2 linked regions of the Alligator mississippiensis genome follow. The protein of the gene in region 1 interacts with the protein of each later gene in a pairwise test. Links are inferred from orthologs where the notes say so. Each region holds a gene or a part of one and is shown in the gene's direction. Other genes may lie near its edges.

What was found. The genes of interacting proteins can lie anywhere in the genome.
Region 2: the proteins of GFAP (region 1) and TUBGCP4 interact in a two-hybrid assay, tested with the Homo sapiens proteins (2 studies listed by BioGRID and IntAct). The two-hybrid records come from large-scale screens. The link is inferred for Alligator mississippiensis from reciprocal best matches to the Homo sapiens genes GFAP and TUBGCP4.

The regions. Positions count from the first base shown.
Region 1 is NC_081827.1:161,783,210-161,793,591, forward strand, and holds the start of GFAP (glial fibrillary acidic protein), read left to right. Parts: upstream 1-6,454; 5' UTR 6,455-6,523; coding exon 6,524-7,035; intron 7,036-10,382.
Region 2 is NC_081834.1:440,500-450,030, forward strand, and holds the start of TUBGCP4 (gamma-tubulin complex component 4), read left to right. Parts: upstream 1-4,642; 5' UTR 4,643-4,696; coding exon 4,697-4,774; intron 4,775-4,864; coding exon 4,865-5,017; intron 5,018-6,749; coding exon of another isoform or gene 6,750-6,753; coding exon 6,754-6,876; intron 6,877-7,391; coding exon 7,392-7,445; intron 7,446-8,377; coding exon 8,378-8,434; intron 8,435-9,350; coding exon 9,351-9,430; intron 9,431-9,531. UniProt on the Homo sapiens protein: Component of the gamma-tubulin ring complex (gTuRC) which mediates microtubule nucleation.

The DNA.
Region 1 (10,382 bases):
GCCCCCTCTCCCTCCCCTGTAGACTGGGCTGCATCCCCAGTCAGGCTTGTCCCCAGACACTCCTTTGTCAGTCAGCCCTCACTGCTCCAGCTAGGGAGCAGAGGGGTGGGGCTGGTGCAGACAGCCCAGCCCATCCCAGTCCAGAGCTGGAAAGCATTCTGGGATGCTGGGGGACTGTGATTTAACTTGAACCAGGAAGGGGTCTCGGACAGAAGTTTCATAAACCAGTTTGACACAAATCAGTTAAGTCTATTACATTCAACCAGGTTTATCTTAAACCAGTTTCAGCCAGTTTGAAACTGGTTTATGTGCACTGAGCTTCTGTTCTGTTACAGGTTTAAACCAGTTTCTGATCACTTAAACCAGTTTATGTGTAACTTCTGTCCCTAGCCCAGGAGACCTGCTCACTTCTACCCCTAGCTGTGGGAGCAGATTTTAGTATAGTAGTTACAGAACATGCAGCCAATTCAAGCAGGAGCCTAGGGGCCCCTGGGTGTTAAATCCTGAGTCTCTAATCTTCAAATCATGAAGCCAGACCACACAGCCTGGCCCCAGCAGCATCATAAACTCATCTGTGGTCCAGCTAGTGGAAAGGGAGAGTAAGCCATAATGGAGGCGCAGTCCCCGGCTCTGCTTGTAATACTACATGGGCAGGCTCCCAGCTATTCAACCTGGGGGGTCAGGGGCTGTCACCCAAGGAAGGCAGTGGGACCTTGGCACCTCATGAGGCTCAGTACACAGAAGGATTAGCAGCTGCTGGGAGCAGAGCACATCTTTCACTATCCTACCCCAATGGCATGGCATTCCTGGGTGGGAGAAGCCCTCCTGCTGGGCTCTGCTCAGCTCATCATGGGCAGACTAGGGAGTGGCGTCTGCTGCTACAGCTGTTGCACCAAAGTCAGTGCTGAGCTATAAGGCCTTCAGGCACTGCAGCTCCACGGATGAAGTACAGCTAGAACAGTGCACTTCCTTCTCCTGGTGGAGGCAGGGGGAGGTGGGGAGGGCAGAGATAGCACACCAGGTGTGGGGATAAGGGGAACTGGGTCTTTACTTGGTGGTGGCAGACATATCTCCTCCTGGCAGGGCACAGACTGAGTTCCTGACCCCTTTTTTTCTGGATTGTGGCCTCCACTTGTGGCCCAAGGTTTGGGCTGGGAGGGGGCAGGAGAAGCAGGGGGAGACCCATGTGCCCTGGAGCTGAGCCATTTGCTGTGGTTCTCACAGCCCCTCAGCCTGTCTCCCAGTACAGCAGATTTAACAAGGGGCATCCTCGGTAATTTTCTTCCCACAGGCAGAACCTCAGTCCCCCAGCTGCTGGGGACGGTGAGTTCCTGTGGTGGGACCGGGCCCCCAACAGGGGTAGCCAGCAGGAATCAATCCTCCTGCAATGATCATTGCCTGGACAGCACCTTGGGACAGAAATCATAGCACAGGGTATCTTCTGTGCCAGCCCCATGGGGGGGTTCATGCCGTGGCCTTGACCCCATTCATAAGGCCTTTGTGGAGCTGTCGGCTTCTGGCTCCAGGAACATGGGACAGATCAGCAGGGCTGTACTGTGGCAGGGCATAGCTGAGCCTGTGTGATCCTCTCCATAGCAAGGCCCCAAGGTTGCCGGGAGCCTGGGAATGCAGTGCTGCCTTGGGGATGGGCAGTGGGAGCACTGCCGGGACCAGCCTCATCCAGACTGCAGCAGCCTGTGAGCCCTGCCCTCTGCACTAGTCCATAGGCCACACTCTTCATCACCCCTTCACTGTGAATACCCCCTCTCCCTCTTTTCCCCCAGGGTGGGGACCATACCTACTTCTTCATCAGGACAGTATCCAGCACTATGAGGCTCTGGTGTTAGCTGGGGCCTCCTGCCACTGCCCCTGTAAACATGATTAATAACAACAAGGATGCTGGGCCCATCTGGAACAGCCTCACCTGATCCTGGAGATGCTCTCTCCACCCCAATACACCCCAGGCTGGAGGCTGATAAGTGGTCAGATGAGAATAGGATGGGGTTCAACGTAGACAAATGCAGGGTGCTGCACCTTGGGAGAAGGAATCCACAGCATACATACAGGCTGGGGAGTTCCCTTCTTGAAAGCACAGAGGCAGAAAGGGATCTTGGAGTCATTACCGACTCCAAGATGAACATGAGCTGCCAATGCCAGACTGCAGCCAGCAAGGCCAGCCATACCTTGTCATGCATCCAAAGGTGCATCTCAAGCCAGTCCAGAGAGGTGATGCTCCCCTTCTATGTGACTTTGGTCAGGCCGCAGTTGGAGTACTGCGTCCAGTACTGGGCACCGTACTTCAAAAGGGATGTGGCCAGCCTGGTGAGGGTTCAGAGGAGGGCTACCCACTTGGTGAGAGGGCAGCAGGACAGGCCCTGCGAGGAGAGACTGAAGGACCTGAACCTGTTCAGCCTCAGCAAGAGGAAGCTGAGGGGGGACCTGGTGGCTGCCTACAAACTCATCAGGGGAGATCATCAGCAAATAGGTAGAGCCCTTTTCTCCCCAGCACCACCGGGGGTGACAAGGAACAATGGTAATAAGCTGAGGGAGAATAGGTTTATGTTAGAGATCAGAAGGCAATATTTTACAGTTAGGGTGGCCAAAATCTGGAACCATCTTCCCAGGGAAATGGTCCTTGCCCCTACCTTGGGCATATTCAAGAGGAGGTTGGATGATCACTTGTCTGGGGTCTTGTGAACCCAGCATTCATTCCTGCCTGTGGCAGGGGGTCAGTCTAGATGATCTGGTCAGGTCCCTCCTGACCCTAACTACTATGAAACTATGAAACTGATCCAAGCAAGGACCCCTCTCCATCCCCCAGAGAATTAATTCCAGATTTCCCACTGGGACTACACGAAGCAGGTAGGAGCCATGGAATGAGTCTCATGTTGGGTCAGTCAGGCTTCAGCGGATCTCTCTCCCCTGCTGCAGGACAAGCCACCTGTACTTCAGCTACACTGGCTGAAGGGAGGACAGTCCCACTGCATAATGCCTCTGGAGCTGCCACATCTGCACTGGCGTTGGACACGCTTATATGTGGCACCAACAGCTGTGGGGGTACATCTTGCTGCTCATAGCACTCTTCGGTCCATGAGTTCTTTCCCAGTGAATGAGGAGAGTTTGTTGCTCCTTCCTGGGTCAAAGAGGGAACTGTGGGAAGGCACAGGAGGACTAGCAGCACCTGAGTGGCACTAGCCTGCACCCACACAGCACAGTGGTTGTGCTGGCAGCTGAGGCATTATGCTCCCTCAAGCATGAGCTGGTTCCCACTATGGGGCAGCTATCCTATGCTAAAGTGCCACTGGGTCTGAGTTAGGGACTTTGTGTGTGGATGGGGTTCAGGTTGTAACTCAGTCAATCCTGCAGTGAAGGAAAGCCCCCACTTTCAACCCCTCTCTGGAGTGTCAGGGCTTCAAGGAGCTCCCCATCACCTGGGCCTTACCAGTGATTACTTATGGCCAGACACCCTTGCTTCATGTCTTTGTTGAGCCCTGAGCTGGAGGTGCCATTTCTGGGTGCTCCTTGGCCATGGCTGTAACGAGCCTGGACCCAGTCATCCCTTGGGCTATACCAAGGGAGCCCTATCCACTCAGGGCTATACAAACCCAGAACAGATGGGTTCAAGCTGTTTGGCCTTCAGGGGACTTAGCTGGGCTTGGCTTGGCTTCTTGCCTGGTTGGAAGGCCTGGCTCAGGCCTGGTTCCTGCCTTGCCTCCTGGGCTCCTCAGGTCCTCAGTCCTAATTCCAGCTCTTTGACTCCTTGGCTTTGGACTCCTGCCCTGGGGGGCTTTGGCTCCTAGCCTTGACTCTTCAGCTTAGGACCCTGGTCTTGGCTCCTGGACTCTGCCCTCTGCCTTGGGAGGCAGTCATGCTGATGTCAAGCAGTGGATGGCTCAAACAGCATATCCCTTAGGAGCTTGGAGAGCTGGAGATGTGGGGAGCACCCAGTCCTGCAAACAGCAGATGCTCTGTGTGCCCCATCATGGATTCATTCTTAATGACCAGAGGCCTTCCAAGCTGTGATATCAAGAAATGAGGGGGAAGAAGCCCCATCTGAGAAGTGAGTGGCAAGCTCAGAATCAGTATGACCATGTGGGAATAGATACCAAGGAGTCCTGGGCCCCTCACAGGAAACTGATCTTGCTACAATATACAATATGGTATTATTTCCCCCAACCCAGAAGTCTGCACTCCCAGACCTTTGCTCTAGCTCCTTAGGTAACACTCTTCTAGACTTGGGAATAGGACCCAGGAGTCCTGAGTTACTCTTTTTAATAGCTAGGCTACACAGGGTCAGGAGTCTTACTCTCAAGCATCCTGCTCTAATTACTATATCCCATCATCTTGCCAGAACCCAGGAGTCCTGAATTCCAGCCCAGGGCTGGACACAGTGACATTAGAAACTTCAGGCTGTAAAAACTCCCACAATAACAATAGAAAATGACTTGGAAGTTTCCACTGCTTCTACAGAACCACTGGAGTGGAAACCAAGTTCAGGGGTTTCAAACAAATACTCAATTTAAGTCTTTCTTAATTAGCTTCTCAGCTGTCTGCCTAAACTGGCCTCTTAAAAAAGGAGTCTCCATCCAAGAGAAATCAAAGTCTTGTCATCTAGATAATTTTGACGGTAACAAGCTGGGATGTGCAGGAATACAGCTGGCCATCAAATGCTCTTGTGTGGGGAGCAGAGAACAAGGGCTCTAACATGTATGTTTGAAGCCTGATGTGTGCATGTGTGTTTTGCTAAATACAGTCTGTAGTGTGGATGTGCAGCCCAGAGCACTGGCTGCCCCCAAACCACAAGAGAATGCCTGGCAGAACTGCACGTGTATTTTTAGACCCCAAAGGTTTGTCTTTCCAAAGTATTCATAATGGAGGGCCGAGGACAGGTGTGAAAGTATGCTGGAAGAGTGTTTTGTGACTATTATGTTTTTAAGCAGAGCCTCATGCCTGAGTTTATAATGTGTAAAAGTATGAAGTGAAGTGCTCATGGGGGGCACAGAGAAGCCCTACAGGACTAGTGTCAGATAAGCATAGTTGGTTGTTATTAAAATTATCACGCATTATCACAGTGAGCACCAAGCAGGCCCACTACACCGTGCTCTGTAAGTATGCATCGTATGAGATGGTCCCCCACATGGTGGGTTGCAATCAACATGTACGTATTCCTCAAACTGCAGCAAAGAAAATTTAGGTTTGAGATTAGGAAAAATGTTCTGACTCTGAGGGTGATCAAGCATTGGAAAAGGCTACCTAGAGAAGTTGTGGACTCTCCATCCCTGGAAGTTTTCAAGAGCAGGTTACTTGGTTGGGCTGTTTTAGTCACAATGATCCTGGCTTGAGAAGGCGACTGGACTAGATGACCTCATGAAGTCCTTTTCAGCCCTACTTTCTTATGATCCTATATACAAGTCAGATAAAGGGGAGGAGGAAAAATGAGGCACAGAGGTAGGCAGTGACTTGACCACGGTCACCCAGCAGAGCAGTGGCAGAGCAGGAAAGAGAACCCAGGTGTCTGGAATGCCAGATGATATTTTTAAGTAATACAAAGATCTAAAAAATGGGCAAAACAATACAAACTTATCTTCTCCCCACTCGGGGCCTAATTGTAGACATGCCAGTGCTGTAATTTGTATGTACAAAAGCACATCTAAGTTAGGAAGAATGGTCAGCTGCGTTTTCAGTGTACTAACAGCATGCTTTAATGCATATGTTAATGGTGCCTGTGGTATTTTAAATATATTATGAGACCATGTTTCCAGGGGTACAGTGCAGAAGATTTCTTTCCCTTGTGCATAAATAAGAAGTGACGTAAGCTCAAAGCAAGACCCCTTGTGTCTGTGTGTGTGCCTACACACACATACATTCACACACATACATGCGTGTGTACACACCTATTCACCCCTTGCACGCACCCCCTCATGCACTGCTTGGTTGAACAGAACTCTTCTTCCCCTGGGAAGTCCCTGCTCCATCCCTCTAACAAACTGGAGACTTACTCTGACAAGCTTGCCCCTCCCCACCATGTCTCTGAGACTCCAGAACATGTTGGCTCGTTCTAGTCTCCAGGACTCTGGGAAAAAGGGCATGTACTGAACAGGGTGTCCTTTGCTACAGCCACCTCCCAGGAGCACACAGCCATGACACGAGTTTGCGGGATGCTGATGCCCACCCACCAGGGGGACAAGGGGCCCTGGAAGCTGTGGCCCACGCGTCCCCCACGTAGCACGTCAGCTGGTATTCACTCTCCTTTGCCCAGCACAATGACTGAGGGTTTCTGCTTCATTTGTCGGTCTTTGTTCCTCTGCCAAGGACTGGGCAGTTGGCACGGTACATGGCAGCTTCTAGGACCAGGCACACAATACCCACCCCCTTCAGGCTCCCCCCTCCTTTAGCTTCTCTCACACACACCCTGTCTGGGGAGGGCCAGTCCTCTGCATAAAACCCATTGCAGAGCAGCCAGCGTCCTGTCGGAGCTTTGCCACTGCCCGCAGGACTAGGCCTGGCCTAAAGGAGCAGGAGCATGAGTGTGAGCATGGAGGGCCAGAGGATGTCTTCTTATGGGAGGCGATTTGGCTCCCAAGCCACCATCCACCAGTCCCTGAGGTACTCTCCTGGCCGCAGGCCACTGTCCTCCAGCCCTACCTCCCGGGTCTCCGTGACCAAAATGAAGACCTCCAGCCTGAGCTTCCACACCAGCCCCCGCTTCAGCCAGGACAAGGTGGACTTTTCCCTGGCTGACGCCCTCAATGCTGAGTTCAAGGAGACACGCACCAATGAGAAGGTGGAGATGATGGAGTTGAATGACCGCTTTGCCAGCTACATTGAGAAGGTCCGTTTCCTAGAGCAGCAGAACAAGGTCCTGGTGGTGGAACTCAACCAGATCAGAGACAAGGAGCCCACCAAGCTGGCCGACATCTACCAGGAGGAGCTACGGGAGCTGCGGCGGCAAGTGGACCAGCTGTCTAACTCCAAGGCCAGGCTGGAGATCGAGAGGGACAACCTGCTGGAGGACGTCAGCATCCTCCGGCAAAAGTAAGGCACTGTCACAGAGCAGGGGAGCAGCTGATGTCCCTAGTGTTGTCAGTGCAGTGAAACAATGGCACAGAGCTGAAGCTATGGAGTCAGACAAGTCACACCAGGAGAGAGGAAGTAGTCACTTGCCCTGGCTGAGTAGCTGGAGATTCAGTACACTTTACAAGTTTTCCTTATGCTTTAAACTGATGGGAAGTAGGGCAGTGCCCTCACCCCCCTGCTTTACCTGCGGCAGGTTAAGTTGTTCCTGGCATCCTTGGACTACATGCCTTGTAGTTATGTGGCAGGTTGTTTGTGGGGTCTTAGGAATATGTTAGACAAATACCTGGCTGCGATGGTTTGGATATAGGGATGTTCCTGCCTCAAGCAGGGGGTTGGAGTGGGTGATCTCCGGAGGTCCCTGCCAGCCTTGCTTTTCCGTGATTCTTTGATATGATTCTGTGAGGGTGGAGGGAGGGGAGGATGAAAAGATAGATGGATAGACAGTGGTAGGACCCAGGGACTCATCTGCTGGTATAGATGGCAGAACTCCTGGGTTCCCAACACTGCTGCTGGCCTGATGGGTGACCTCAGTCAGGTCGCTCTCCCCTTCTCTGCCTAATGTTCACTGCCTGTAAGGGGAGCTGGGGGAGGGAGCTGTGAGCGCAAGGGGAACCAAGTGTTATCCATGGCCAGATTTTCAGGAGACCTCACACTAGTCTCCCATATTGTACTGGGAAAAAAAGCAACTATGCAGGGAAGTGTGGGCTTGTACTCCTGCATTTTCAAACCCTGGCCTGAGAGCTGGGTACCCAGCTGCCCAGTGTACCCATGCCGACTCTTGCCTGATCCCCCAGAGCTGCTGTATGCCCTGATGGGCAGGCATGAAAGCACATGTACCCAAGTGGTTTAACCAGCACAGGGCAGCAGTAAATGCATGTAGCGGAGGGACCTGCTCTCCCTGCCTCCCTCACTGCAGCCCTCTGTGACAAACAGCATGCTGGAGCAAGGCTCAGGAGAAAAGACTTCAGTCTGTGAGCCAAATTGCTTGCACACTGCACATGTAACAAAAGCTCTGCTCTGCTGAAGCTCTGGGGGCAGGACAGGAGGAGGAGGGGGAAGGGCTGCCAGCCTCATTAGAGAAGGGCTTGTCCCTGTGCTGGCTGCGCAGTTGTGCTGGCTATACACCAGCACACTGTGGTTTTTGGAGGAAGTGTACTCTAACAGTTTGGGCAGACAGCTAGACACCCAAAGTGGCATGTCCCAGTCCAGGCTGGGAGAGGTATGCTCTAGCACCAGGTTCCCAGTCTGTCCCCTGCTTTGAGACTGGGATGCCAGATTAGCATGGGTACAAGGATTTGGGAGTCAGGACTCCTGCGTTCCACCCATTTGAGCAAGATGTTAACTCTACTGTGTCTGAGGGAGGGCTCTTTGCTCACCCACAGGCCTTGTGAAACGTAGGCCCGCGAAAGACGTGCAAGTAAAGGTGCAATGGGGTCTGATGCAGGATCCCCACAATTGTGCTTCTATGCGCATGACAGGAGGTGTGATTGTGGGATTCTGCATCAGATCCCAGAGCACCTTATTGTCAGCACAGGAATGATCCTGGGCTCCCCCTGCACTGGCAAGTAGCAAGCTCCCATGTCTGGGAGACCCCTCAATTGAAGGGACTCCCAGCCACTGGGGGACACAATGCACTCCCAGGGCTGAGAGCCGTCAGCTGATGTGGCACCCAACCACTGGGGTGCATCATGTCTAGGAGCCCAGTCAGCTGATCCAGGCTCCCAACTGCAGGGTGCATCCCCCAGCTGGGAGCCTGGATCAGCTGATAGAGCTCCCATGCTGCTGGCAGCACCATCAGCCAACAAGGCACCCAGCCAGGCTCAGCCAGGCCACACATTCAATTGATGACATGATAGGAACCAGCCACAAAGTTATTCAACATTTTTTTATAATAGTTTTGTGGCTTATTCCTTGTTTTATGACACCATTAATTGCATTAATGTGTGGCTGAGTGACAACTTAAGACATGATGAACTGGTCAACCACATCTTAAATGCAACGTATGCCAGGGGCTGTAATTAGTTCATGTTTCCATTACAGCAAGGACTCAGGATTATTGTAGTTGACTGAAGGCTGTTAGCAGCAGCTCTACCCATGTCCCAGCCAAACACAGATGCAACATGCTGCATCCTACAGTGCACGCACACAACAGACCACCCAACACACTGCACCCCACAGTGCATGTGCACACAGACACATGGACACATGCACGTATGCACAACAAACACAAGCCAATGCACTGTGCCCCACTGGGCCCACACACAATAACCACTATGCCTGATTACTCTATGCCCACACCATGCATACAACAAACACAACCCCTGTGTGCTCCACCCCACAGAACACCTCCCAAAACAGCCCACTGCACACTCCACACCCACAGCATGCACACAGCAAGCACAACCCCTGTATGCTCGGCCTCCTGACCTCCCTACCCCATGGCCTGCAAGCCGCAGCCAGCCTAGATGCCTAGGCAATCAACACAGACAAAGGTGCTTCCTGCTGGTACCCACCACAGCCTGTCAGCATGTGCAACCCAAGCCAGCCAGCTCCATGTCAGTGCAGACTTCTGCTGACATCTGCCCTCTCCCTGGGTGAGTTCTGCTGCTTCCAGCTGACCATGACACCCTCCTTGACTTCAGGAACCTTGACAGTCAGGACACACTGGGCTCTACAGCCAAACCCTTGAAGCAGATAGTCTCATGCATCCACTAGCAATCGACCTTCTCAGCACTTCGGGCTCCTGCCCCCACATGCTTCTCCCTGCCACCACCCTCTCCTTGGCTTTCCTTGTCATTACCTTCTTGGGCTCTAGCCAGCATACTCCTCTGTGCCCTCATGGCTGGCAGTCTGGAATGATGCTCTCTGCAGACCATCTTTGGCTTGTACTAGATCCTGGAGGCCAGGCAGCTGCCAGGAGAAGCAGCATGTGAGTCCCCCCATGGCCCTGCAAGAGCCTACATCTTTCAGGAAACCTGCTTTTCACTCTAGGCACACTGCAGGGATCACCCCACTGCCCTTCCCAACCCACCATGCCCTGGCACCTGATTCTGCCCCTGGGCCTGACCTGAGAGGTGCTGTGTAGCTGCTCTGTAGTGTGGGACTAGGCAGTATTGGGAATAGCTTCCATGAAACTTGGCACTTCTGGGTCCCTGGGCCAACTTTTGCCTTTCCCAGAACAATGCTAGCATGCTGTAAGGGAGATGTGCCTGCTGGTGTCTAATGCTGCACCTGGGATGGGAACAAGTGCACTGATGGAGGAGGGGGCTGGGGTGTGTATCATGAGGCTTTGTGGAGGTGGGGGA
Region 2 (9,531 bases), on another chromosome or scaffold:
GGCAGAGGAGGCTGAGGCCGGCACCTGTGCTGGCCCCAGCAGCCTTACCTGGGTCCTCCCGGGGCAGCAGCGGCTGTGATCAGGCAGCAGGGAGCCTGGCCAGCAGCCAGATCATGGCTCTGTGGTTGGCCAGGGTCCTGGTCTGGTGGCACAAGCTCCTGCCACATGCACTGCACCATACTTTCTTTGGGGTAGTTTTTCTTGACACTGGGATTTCCCAGTGACAAAGAAAACCCACCACACTACAATTTCACAGCGCGGCAAATATGGGCACGTGTGCAGTTTGCGGCGCCACAAACCACACATACGTGCTCACCTGGAGAAACCCTTTCTGCCCGAGAAGCCTCTGCATTTCAGTTAATTAAATTAACATTTGCAACTCGGTGAGCTATCACCGAGCATGACAGGTCTTGATGTTAAGAACTTAGCAAAATACTGGACATGCCTTGGGTCCTGGATGCAACTCAGGGAAGAAGACCCCCATGACATGCCAAACAGCAATGAATTTGTACATCTAAATAGTTGGTGCTTGTTTAAATAGATAAGTAAGAGAAAATCTGAGCTACAGGAAGGAAAACAACCCAAACTGAATGAGAAGAGAAACCGTATCTTGGATAGCTGGTTAGATCTAAATATTCTTTTTCTGGTTGACTTAGGTTTCCATGTAAAATCAGGCACCTCCCAAGAAAAGCAGTACAGGATCTGAAAAGAAGAAAAGAAGTGAGGTGGGGTCCCACTAACCTGTTAATAAAACCAGCTTCTTCCCTAGTATCCACAAGAAGTAGGTTTGCTTGTCCAAGTTACACTTCCACCTCCGGATTTTCCACAGTGCCTGTGTCTTTAGATGTGAAACCCTTCAGAGCAGGGAGCCAATTTTTTGTGCGCTGTGCTGTGCTGAATACATAGTGATTACTAAATTCATTTGATACAGCAACTACAGCTTCAGCTAACAAATTACATCAACCAGTAAAGGGTAAGGACAGTATTTCAGTTCTGAAATGAGATCTTTTCTGAATGCAGCGCTTCCTCTTTCCTCTCTCCCCTTGCTAGAAATCCAAGCAAAGACAGCAATGAGTAAGTCTTCCAACAGCAGCTATATTCAGAAAGAATAAAATTCACCCCTGAACTGAAAACCAGCACAGAGGCTCATCACCCTTCAGTATTATGAAAAGATGACAAAATAGAAAGAAAGCGGTGCTTTGGCATTGACCCTTGCACGGGGATGAATTTTAACCATCATAGGCTTGGCTGAATGCTAATGCCCCAGGAGAAGAAGGAATCAATGTTGCTCTTTCTTAGGAAGAATTCAAGACAAATTCCCCCAAACCCCAGGAATTCAGGATACGTTTGCAGGACCATTACCTCAAGTCCATTGCCCAGCCAGGAATCACTCTGACAAGTTACCCCATTTCTCAGGTTTCCTACTAACCAGAATCGCGGTCTCTCTCATGCAGCTCTTACCATGCTCCCTGATGTTGACGCTGTGAGCGATTATAAACAGCAACAGGCTGACTCCAGTGGCACGTGGGATCCTGCCCTAGAGAGGTGAACTATACTAGTGACTCCGCACAGGGGCAGGTAACCGAGGTCCTCTCTGACGGCAGCCCACAGAAATGAACTATGTTGTTATCTCTGTACACAGCAGGTGACTCACAGGCCATGGCTGAGTAGTGACTGCGGCAGCTCATTTTGGTCAGAATTGTTCTCTGTACCCGAGCCCCTGTGATTCCTTAGAAAATGGACACCAAGACCCCAAAACTGATGGGCACCTATTAGGAAAACAAGGCACTTTGTCTCCAGCCCCCTGGAGCTGCACCTGCTTTCCCCTGTCCCAGTCCAGCCACCGAAGACAATGGCAAGCCGGCCGTAGGGGAGCCAACTTTCTGCCCAGGTGTGGGAGACCTATCTCAGAGCTGCAGCTGTCCCAAGGCCTGATGCTCCCAGGGCCAGAAAGCACAGGTGACAGCAGCATGATTGATCCAGTGGTGGCACATGCAGCAGCAACCCAGGAGCATGGATCAAAGACCAAGCTGCTCCTGGTGCCACCTCCTTCCGCCCTGGCAGGGGTGGGGTGGGGCAGGGCAGGGCAGGGAAAAAGAGGCCGTGCACGGAGTCAACGGAACCAGGTCGGACCTGACCAGAGCGGAGCCAGCACCAGCACCAGCACGAGCACCAGGGACAGCCCGGCCTGGCTGCTGCTCACTGCTGGGTGGTGCTACTGCTGCGGGGCTGTGGGCTGGGGCCCAGGGTGTGCAGAAGCCTCCTGCCTCCAGGGAGGAGCTGGCGAGTGCAGGCCAGGACACAGCCAAGGGAGCAGGGATAGGCAGGTCAGGGCTCACCAGTTGCCCGTTCCCACCCACTGGTCCCACTTGCACCTATGGCAAGTCTCTGCCAGCCATAGACGGCGCCATGGCCCAGGCCCCACAAGTGACCACGTCCCCAGGGCAGGGTGGGGGTAGAAGCAGGCACCACAGCTACCCCTCTGGGAGGGGTGAGGATGAGGGCACCAGAGGCCAAAATGCTGGGCCATGCCCAGGCAGGTTCAGGATGAAGCAGCACAGCTGCCACTGGGCAGTCAGGGACACTTTCTCCCTCTTACCCACAGTGTGGGTTGCAATACCACACACCCTCTGGAAGTGCCTGCACATTGCGAAGCTCTGCCCGGTGCCTGCAACATCTTGCCCATGGGCGGCACCCCTCATTCATGGGCACACTGGAGGGGAGGGGAGGGGAGGGACAGGATCCAGCTAGATCTAGACAGGTTACAGATGTGGGCGGATGAGAATAGGATGGAGTTCAACGCAGACAAGTGCACGGTGCTGCATCTAGGGAGAAGGAGCCTGCAACACACCTACGGGCTGGGAACTCCCCTCTCAACAACACAGTGGCTGAAAGGGATCTTGGAGTCATTGTTGGCTCCAGGATGAACGTGAGCCGCGAATGTGAGGCAGTGGTCAGGAAGGCCGACCACACCTTGTCGTGCATCCACAGATGCATCATCTCGAGCAGGGCCAAGGAGATGATCCTCCCCTCGATGCGACACTGGTCAGGCTGCAGGTGGAGTACTGTGTCCAGGTCTGGGCGCCGCACTTCAGGAGGGATGTGGACAGCACGGAGAGGGTCCAGAGGAGGGCTGCCCGCATGGTCAGGGGCAGCAGGGCAGGCCCTACGCGGAGAGACTAAAGGGCCTGAAGCTACTCCACAAGAGAAGGCTGAGGGATCTGGTGGCCGTTTACAAACTCACCGGGGGGACGAGCAGAAAACAGGTAGGGCTCCGTATCCCCAAGCACTACCTGTGATAACAAGGAATAGTGGCCACAAATGGACGGAGAGCAGGTTCAGGTTAGATATCAGGAGCGTTACTTTACGGTCGGGGCTGCCGGGCTCTGCAATGGGCTCCCGAGGGAGGTGGTGCCCGCCCCTGTCTCGGGGGTCTTCAAGAGGAGGTTGGCTAGAGCTCTGGCTGGGGCGATACGATCCCAGCGCTCGTTCCTGCCCAGGGCAGGGGTCGGACCTGATGATCTGTTCAAGTCCCTTCCGACCCTAGTAACTATGAGACTCACACGTGCGGCTGAGCAGCGATATCGGCTGGACAACCCCTTCTCCCCAGCTGTCTGCCCTCAGACTGCAGGGCAAGGCCGAAGCGGTCAGTGCTGCCAGGTGGCGGCTGCTGGAACGAGCCCTGCGTCCCGTCGCTGAGCGCCTGCCGTCGGAGCTGCGGGAAGGCTGGACCGCTTCCCACGTTTGCTGCGACACCCTGAAACCGGGGGGTGGCAAGACTACAGCGCCGTGGGCGCCGCTTTGCTGTGGGAGTCGCGTGTGCGCACAGGGAGGAGACCGAGCGGGAAGCAAAGGAAAGGGAAGGCGCAGGTCTGCACCGTGACGCTGGGGACACGAGGCGGGGACAGACCGCAGACGCTCACCCAACACCTCCTGCCTCCGACCCCGCGCCGCACACGGGGAGCTACCCCGACGCCCCGGCCCTCAGCCGGGCCCCGCCACCCAGCTAGCGCCACGCGCCTCTGCCTCTGGGGGCGGGCTGTGTGCACCCTCAGCCCCGGGCGGGCGGGCGGGCCTGGAAAGCAGGCTGTGCCGTTACATTGCTCCCGACCGCCCGGGGCCGGCGGCTCCCGCACAGCAGACTGCCGGCCCGCGGGCCAGCCAGGCGCGAAGCCCAGCTCGAAGGACGAGGACTAGGACGAGGGCGTGGGCCGCGGCGGGGCGGGGGCTCGGGGGACGGCGGCCAGGAAGGGCCGGAGGGCGAGCGCTCGGGCAGGAGCCGGCCCAGCTCCACGAGCGCCCGGGCCGCCTCCCTGCGCTGCCAGCGGCGCGGCTCCGCGCGGAGCGAGCGCACGCGGGGCCCGGGCCTCCCGGCTTCGCACCAGGCGCAGCGCGCCCAGCTCTCCTCGCCGCCTCGCGCCCGGGAGTCCCGAGGGAGCTGGCCGAGGAGACTCCTGGGCGAGCCGCGCCCACGGCTGCCCGCGCCTCGCGCGCCCGCCCACGCCCCGCGCGCCACGCCTCCCGGCATGCTCTGCGGCTCCCGGCGGCCTGCGGGACTCCACTTCCCAGCATGCTCCGCGGCTCCCAGCGGCCTCTGCGGTCTGCGGGACTCCAGTTCCCGGCATGCTCCGCGGCGGCGGGCGGCCTGTTTGGCGGCGGGCGGTGTTTCCCGGCATGCCGCGCGGCCCCGGGCAGGATGATCCACGAGCTGCTGCTGGCGCTGAGCGGGTTCCCGGGCGCCGCCTTCACGTGGAGCAAGCGGGGCGGCCTGCAGGTACCACCGCCCCGCCCCCCCCCCGCCCCGTCCGCCCGCGCCGCGCTCCCGCCCCGCCCCGCCCCTGACCGCCCGCCCGCCCGCCCGCAGGTGAGCCAGGAGCTGCCCTTCCTGCACCCGAGCGAGACCGGCGTGCTGAGCCGCCTCTGCCGCCTGGGCACCGACTACCTCCGCTTCACCGACTTCGTGGCGCAGTACACGGGCCACGTGCAGCAGCAGCAGCAGCAGCAGCAGCAGCAGCAGGTGGGGCCGCGCGGCCAGGCGGGTTTACCGCCACAGCGCCCGCCCGCCCGCCCTGGGCGCGGGGCACGAGGCGGATCGGCGGGGCCGGGCCCTGGCACCAGACCCCTGCCCCCTCAGTGCCGCGGGGCCGTGCCGCAGCGCCCCGCCGGCTGTGCGTGCCCTGCCCTGCCCTGCCCTGCCGGCGCCGGGCGGGGAGCAGGGACCCCCGGGCAGCTTGCACTTGGCTCGGGCCGCGCCCCGCGGGGAGGCAGGCGGCGTCGGCAGCTCCGGCGCAGAGCCCTGGGCCGGGCCGGGCCGGGCCAGGCCGGGCGCGCTGGTGCAGGCGCCGGTGCGGCAGACCCGGGCCCCGCGGCAGTGGAGCGTGCCGGGCTGTCTTGGGGTCCGCGTCCCCTCGCTGGGGTCCTGGCTGCGCTCTGCCCGCGTGCCCGGCGCGTCGCCCTCTGACATCCCAGGTCGTCCGCTCAAACTCCTCCGTGGGCCGGCCGAGAGCCGCGGGCTGGCCGGGCCCAGGCGCCGGCAGGGCCGCCGTTCGGCCCCTTGTCTTGGCACATCCCCGGGCAGTCTCGCTGCACGGCGTCTGCAGCCCCAGGCGCTCCCGGGCAGCAGCGGACACCGGTCTGTTCTTCTCCGCCTGGTGCTTTCCTCTGGGGCCTGGTTATTAACCCGCAGATTTACTTCTCTTTCTGTTCTGTCTTTTTCTTCTGTCAAGAAATGGGCTGCGCAGCTCGTGGTGTCTCTGGCCGCCGAGGGGGGACGTGGTTCCCAGCAAGGCAGAGCTCAGTTACAGCGTAGCAAATACAGCAGTCTCCGGTGGGGGCAGGTAGTAAGTGCTTTAGAGGGAGAGCCCATGGCCGGGGCACGATCCTCTCCGTGTCACCTTCCCTCGTTGGTTTAGAGGTCAGAGGAGGCAGCCCTGACTTCTGTCTAATAGCTCCCAACGGACCTGTCCTTCCTCTCCAAGCTGCTCATACCTTCCCCTGCCACAAGTCAGCTACGCACTGGACATAAACAAAAGCTTGTCGTCTGACGAGATGCCTGTGGCGGAGCGCTCTCGCTGAGCGACGGCCTCGGGCCCCTCGTTAGGACATTTCAGCGTTGCTGACCCCGTCGGTCACATCGCGTACTGACGGGTGGGCGGTCACTTCCATTTGGTTCTCCGTAGCGATGTCTGCCTTAGCGCAGTACTGTCTTACCCACGGCAATCAGGCTAATTTGGAGAGGGAAGGAGAGCAGCAGGGAGAGAATTACCACGAGCGCGAAGAGCAAAGGCTTGTGAAGCCCCTGCAGCCCCTACCAGGCAAACCTAATTCACCTGGGGAAGAACAACAACTTGCAGTCGCTCAGACTGGACAGGCTTTGCAAGACTCGAGGGTGCTCCCCATCCCGCTAGGCTGGTGGGGCTGTGGCAAGTGCTTTACATACATGTGCCTCTTTCAGTGGCTGCCCCAAATAACAGCAACATGTTAGTGGCCACCTTTATTAGATGGTCTTCTGCCTCCGGACTGCCTTGCAGTGGGCACCTGCCTCTTCTGTGGTGAGTAGTGTCTCTGAGGGGACTGAATCTAGGTCTGCTCCATCCTTGCCAGCGCAAGCACCATCTCGTAACCTGTCCGTTCTGTTGGCACTTGCTGCGGTTGTTCGAGATGGGTATGTTTGTAACTTGGATCACTGGGCTGGTGTTAAAGCACCATCCAGACCTGCCTGGGGCCAATCCAGACTTTCCTGTTTGATTGCAGGACCATCACCCATCCCAGCAGAACCCAAGCGGGCTCCATGGGATTTACTTGCGGGCCTTCTGCACGGGGCTTGACTCTGTGCTGCAGCCCTATCGTCAGGCACTGCTTGACCTGGAACAAGAGGTAAGAGGGAGGTGGCCGTGCGTGTGGCTGGGCGCTGGAAGTGCTGCAGCCTGAACTCTGGCGCAGTGGGAACCTGCCTCTTGTATGGCGAGTAGCCTGACAAGCAGCTGCCAGGGACAGGACAGGAACTTTCACTTTTCACTTTGGGGATGTCTTCCAAATGGCTACTGCAAGTGCAGTCACTACTGGTCAGCGTATTCTGTGTCACTGACTTCCTCATCCATGGGAGGGCTCCCTCAGTGCCCGGGCAAGGCTCTGTCGCTCCAGCTGTAGTGATCCATGCTTTTAGCTCTGAAGATTTTTGACTAATCCCCTTGTCATGGCCAGGATAGCAGTGGTCATGTAACCTCTCAGGTGGGGTCACTGAGTCAGTGGTCTCACTGTGAGTTGCAGCCTGAAGTGGGACATGGCCCAAAAGTCTGTGGAGTGAGCTGTGATCAGGCCATTCGCTCTCGCTTACCTTCTCATAGGCTGTGGATTATTTCAGTTTGTGCTAACTGCTGTTGTTGTTGCAGTTCCTGGCTGATCCTCATCTCTCCATCTCGCACGTTAACTATTCCCTGGATCAGGTATGTTGCGTAGGACCTAGAGGCTTCAGGTTTATGCACCTTAATACTCATAGGTACAACATGGGTAATGCTGCAGAGCTTGGCATTGCTGCTAGACCCCCATCTTTCCAACCACCTGACTTTTGTACTTATCTCCTGAGTTTTAAAGTTGCATCAATGTCACCATTACCCTTTAGACCTAAGCTTGCAAGAAGAAATAGAGTTTCCTTCCTGCAAGGTTGCAGTAGCTGGTAGCACATATGTCACCAAGGTGGAGGAAGCTACGTGGTGTCTGTTTTTAGGCATCTTGATTTCCGAAATCACTAAATCCAGTGTGTCATCATTCACGAGCTTTCCTCCATGGAGTCCTGCTAGGAGTCTTATGCTGTATTTCATGGCTGAAGAACTTCTGAGCTGGGGATGGATGCCTGGATAGCCCCCTTAAGGAGTATAGGAGTGTGCCGGGGCGCAAAGAGCTCTTGCTTCAACCATCCATCTGCCCCTCTGTTTCCTGAAAACTCATTTAGAGTCCAGCTCTGAAACTGGAGTGGTGGGGGGAACTGCTTGATTTTTTTCATATCCTGGAGCCAAAGTCTCAAACTTGTCAATTTGAGAAACTGCAGAATCCCACTGACACACTTCCAGCCTATCAGTACAATGTTGTGTTCCCCACAGCTTGCTTACTGTGCAGAGTGTCTCCTTCTTCATGATGCAGCTTGAGCCCAATGCTGGGGTAGTGTTGCATTTCCCATATCTTAGGCTGGTTGTCTGTCCATGCAGAGACTGAGGTCTCCTGTTCTAGGGGCACCTAGATCAGGGCGATAGTGCTACCCAGTTGTGGGGCAACTGAAGTGACCAGCTGGAAAATCACTACATTTTGCTGCTTTGCCCCAAGTGCCCTTGCTGTCTCTTGCTTAGGAGCCTGCTCTTATGTGTTGATCCTTGCTTTGCAGTTCCAGCTGCTTTTCCCCTCGGTGATGGTGGTGGTTGAGCAGATCAAGACTCAGAAGGTACAGTGAGGGGTGACTGGGGCATCCACGCTGGGATGTGGCGTTCCCCCTCTTTCCCTTTAGTTGGAGTTGCTTGTGGGTGGAGGTGCCACCAGATGATAGACAGGGCTTGTAGACGGTTGGTGGGTGCACCCATCAGGAAGTAACTGGTTTCTCAGGGTCTGTCTTTCTCTCGGAGGCTACATGAAGCAGGCAGCAGAGAGATTCTGATCATAAGCAAGAGTGAGGTAGTGGGGTGATTTGCATCTTTAAAGTTGAGGGGAAGAGACAGATTTTTGGCAGACAGGCTTGGAGCTGGGGCAGGAGGGGAATGTGCAGCAATTCTTTCCCTTGACCTGGTCACACTGCTGTTTTCAGTATACAGGGACGAAACGTGTTGCCACGTTTGCACGTTAGTGGCTGGCTTTGCTCCTCCTTGTGCCTGATCCCAAAGGATTCGCATCCCAGGAAATTGGGGGCATTTGCTAGATTCTGTGAAGCACTGGGAGAAGCTTGTGTGCTGGCTGCTAAGTGGTGCCTGGGAAAGGGGGCTCACGCAGCATTGCGTGGAGCAGTGGTTTTCAAACTGGGGTGGGCATATCCCAGCCGCACGTGGCTAAGTTGTAATAATGGTGGTGGAGCTTCTGATTGGCCAGTGCGTGATGAGCAATGGTATTGCTGGGTGTTGATGCTGGCATCAGTACGCTTCCTGAGGAGTGAATGTGGAGACGCACTGGGGTTGAGGGGAATGAGCAGCGATGTTCTGCAGGTAAAGGGGTGTTCAGCCAAAAAAGTTTGAAATCCACTCCCCTGGAGTTTGCGAGGCCTTTCCCTTCCGTTCCACGGCAGGTTGTCATTGAGACGTCCGGATTGCCAGCACTGCCTCAAGACAGCAACTCGCTGCTGATCCACTGTGACTGCTTTGTTTCTTCTACAGATTCATGGCTGTCAGATCCTGGAGACTGTCCACAAGCACAGCTGTGGAGGGCTGCCCCCCGTGCGCAGTGCACTGGAAAAGTAGGGAGATTCTCTAATCCTGCTGCTGAGTTCTTGTGGAACAGCTGGAGTTAGTCATAGAATCTCCTCTCCAGACATCTGTTTGATCCAGGAAATGGGCT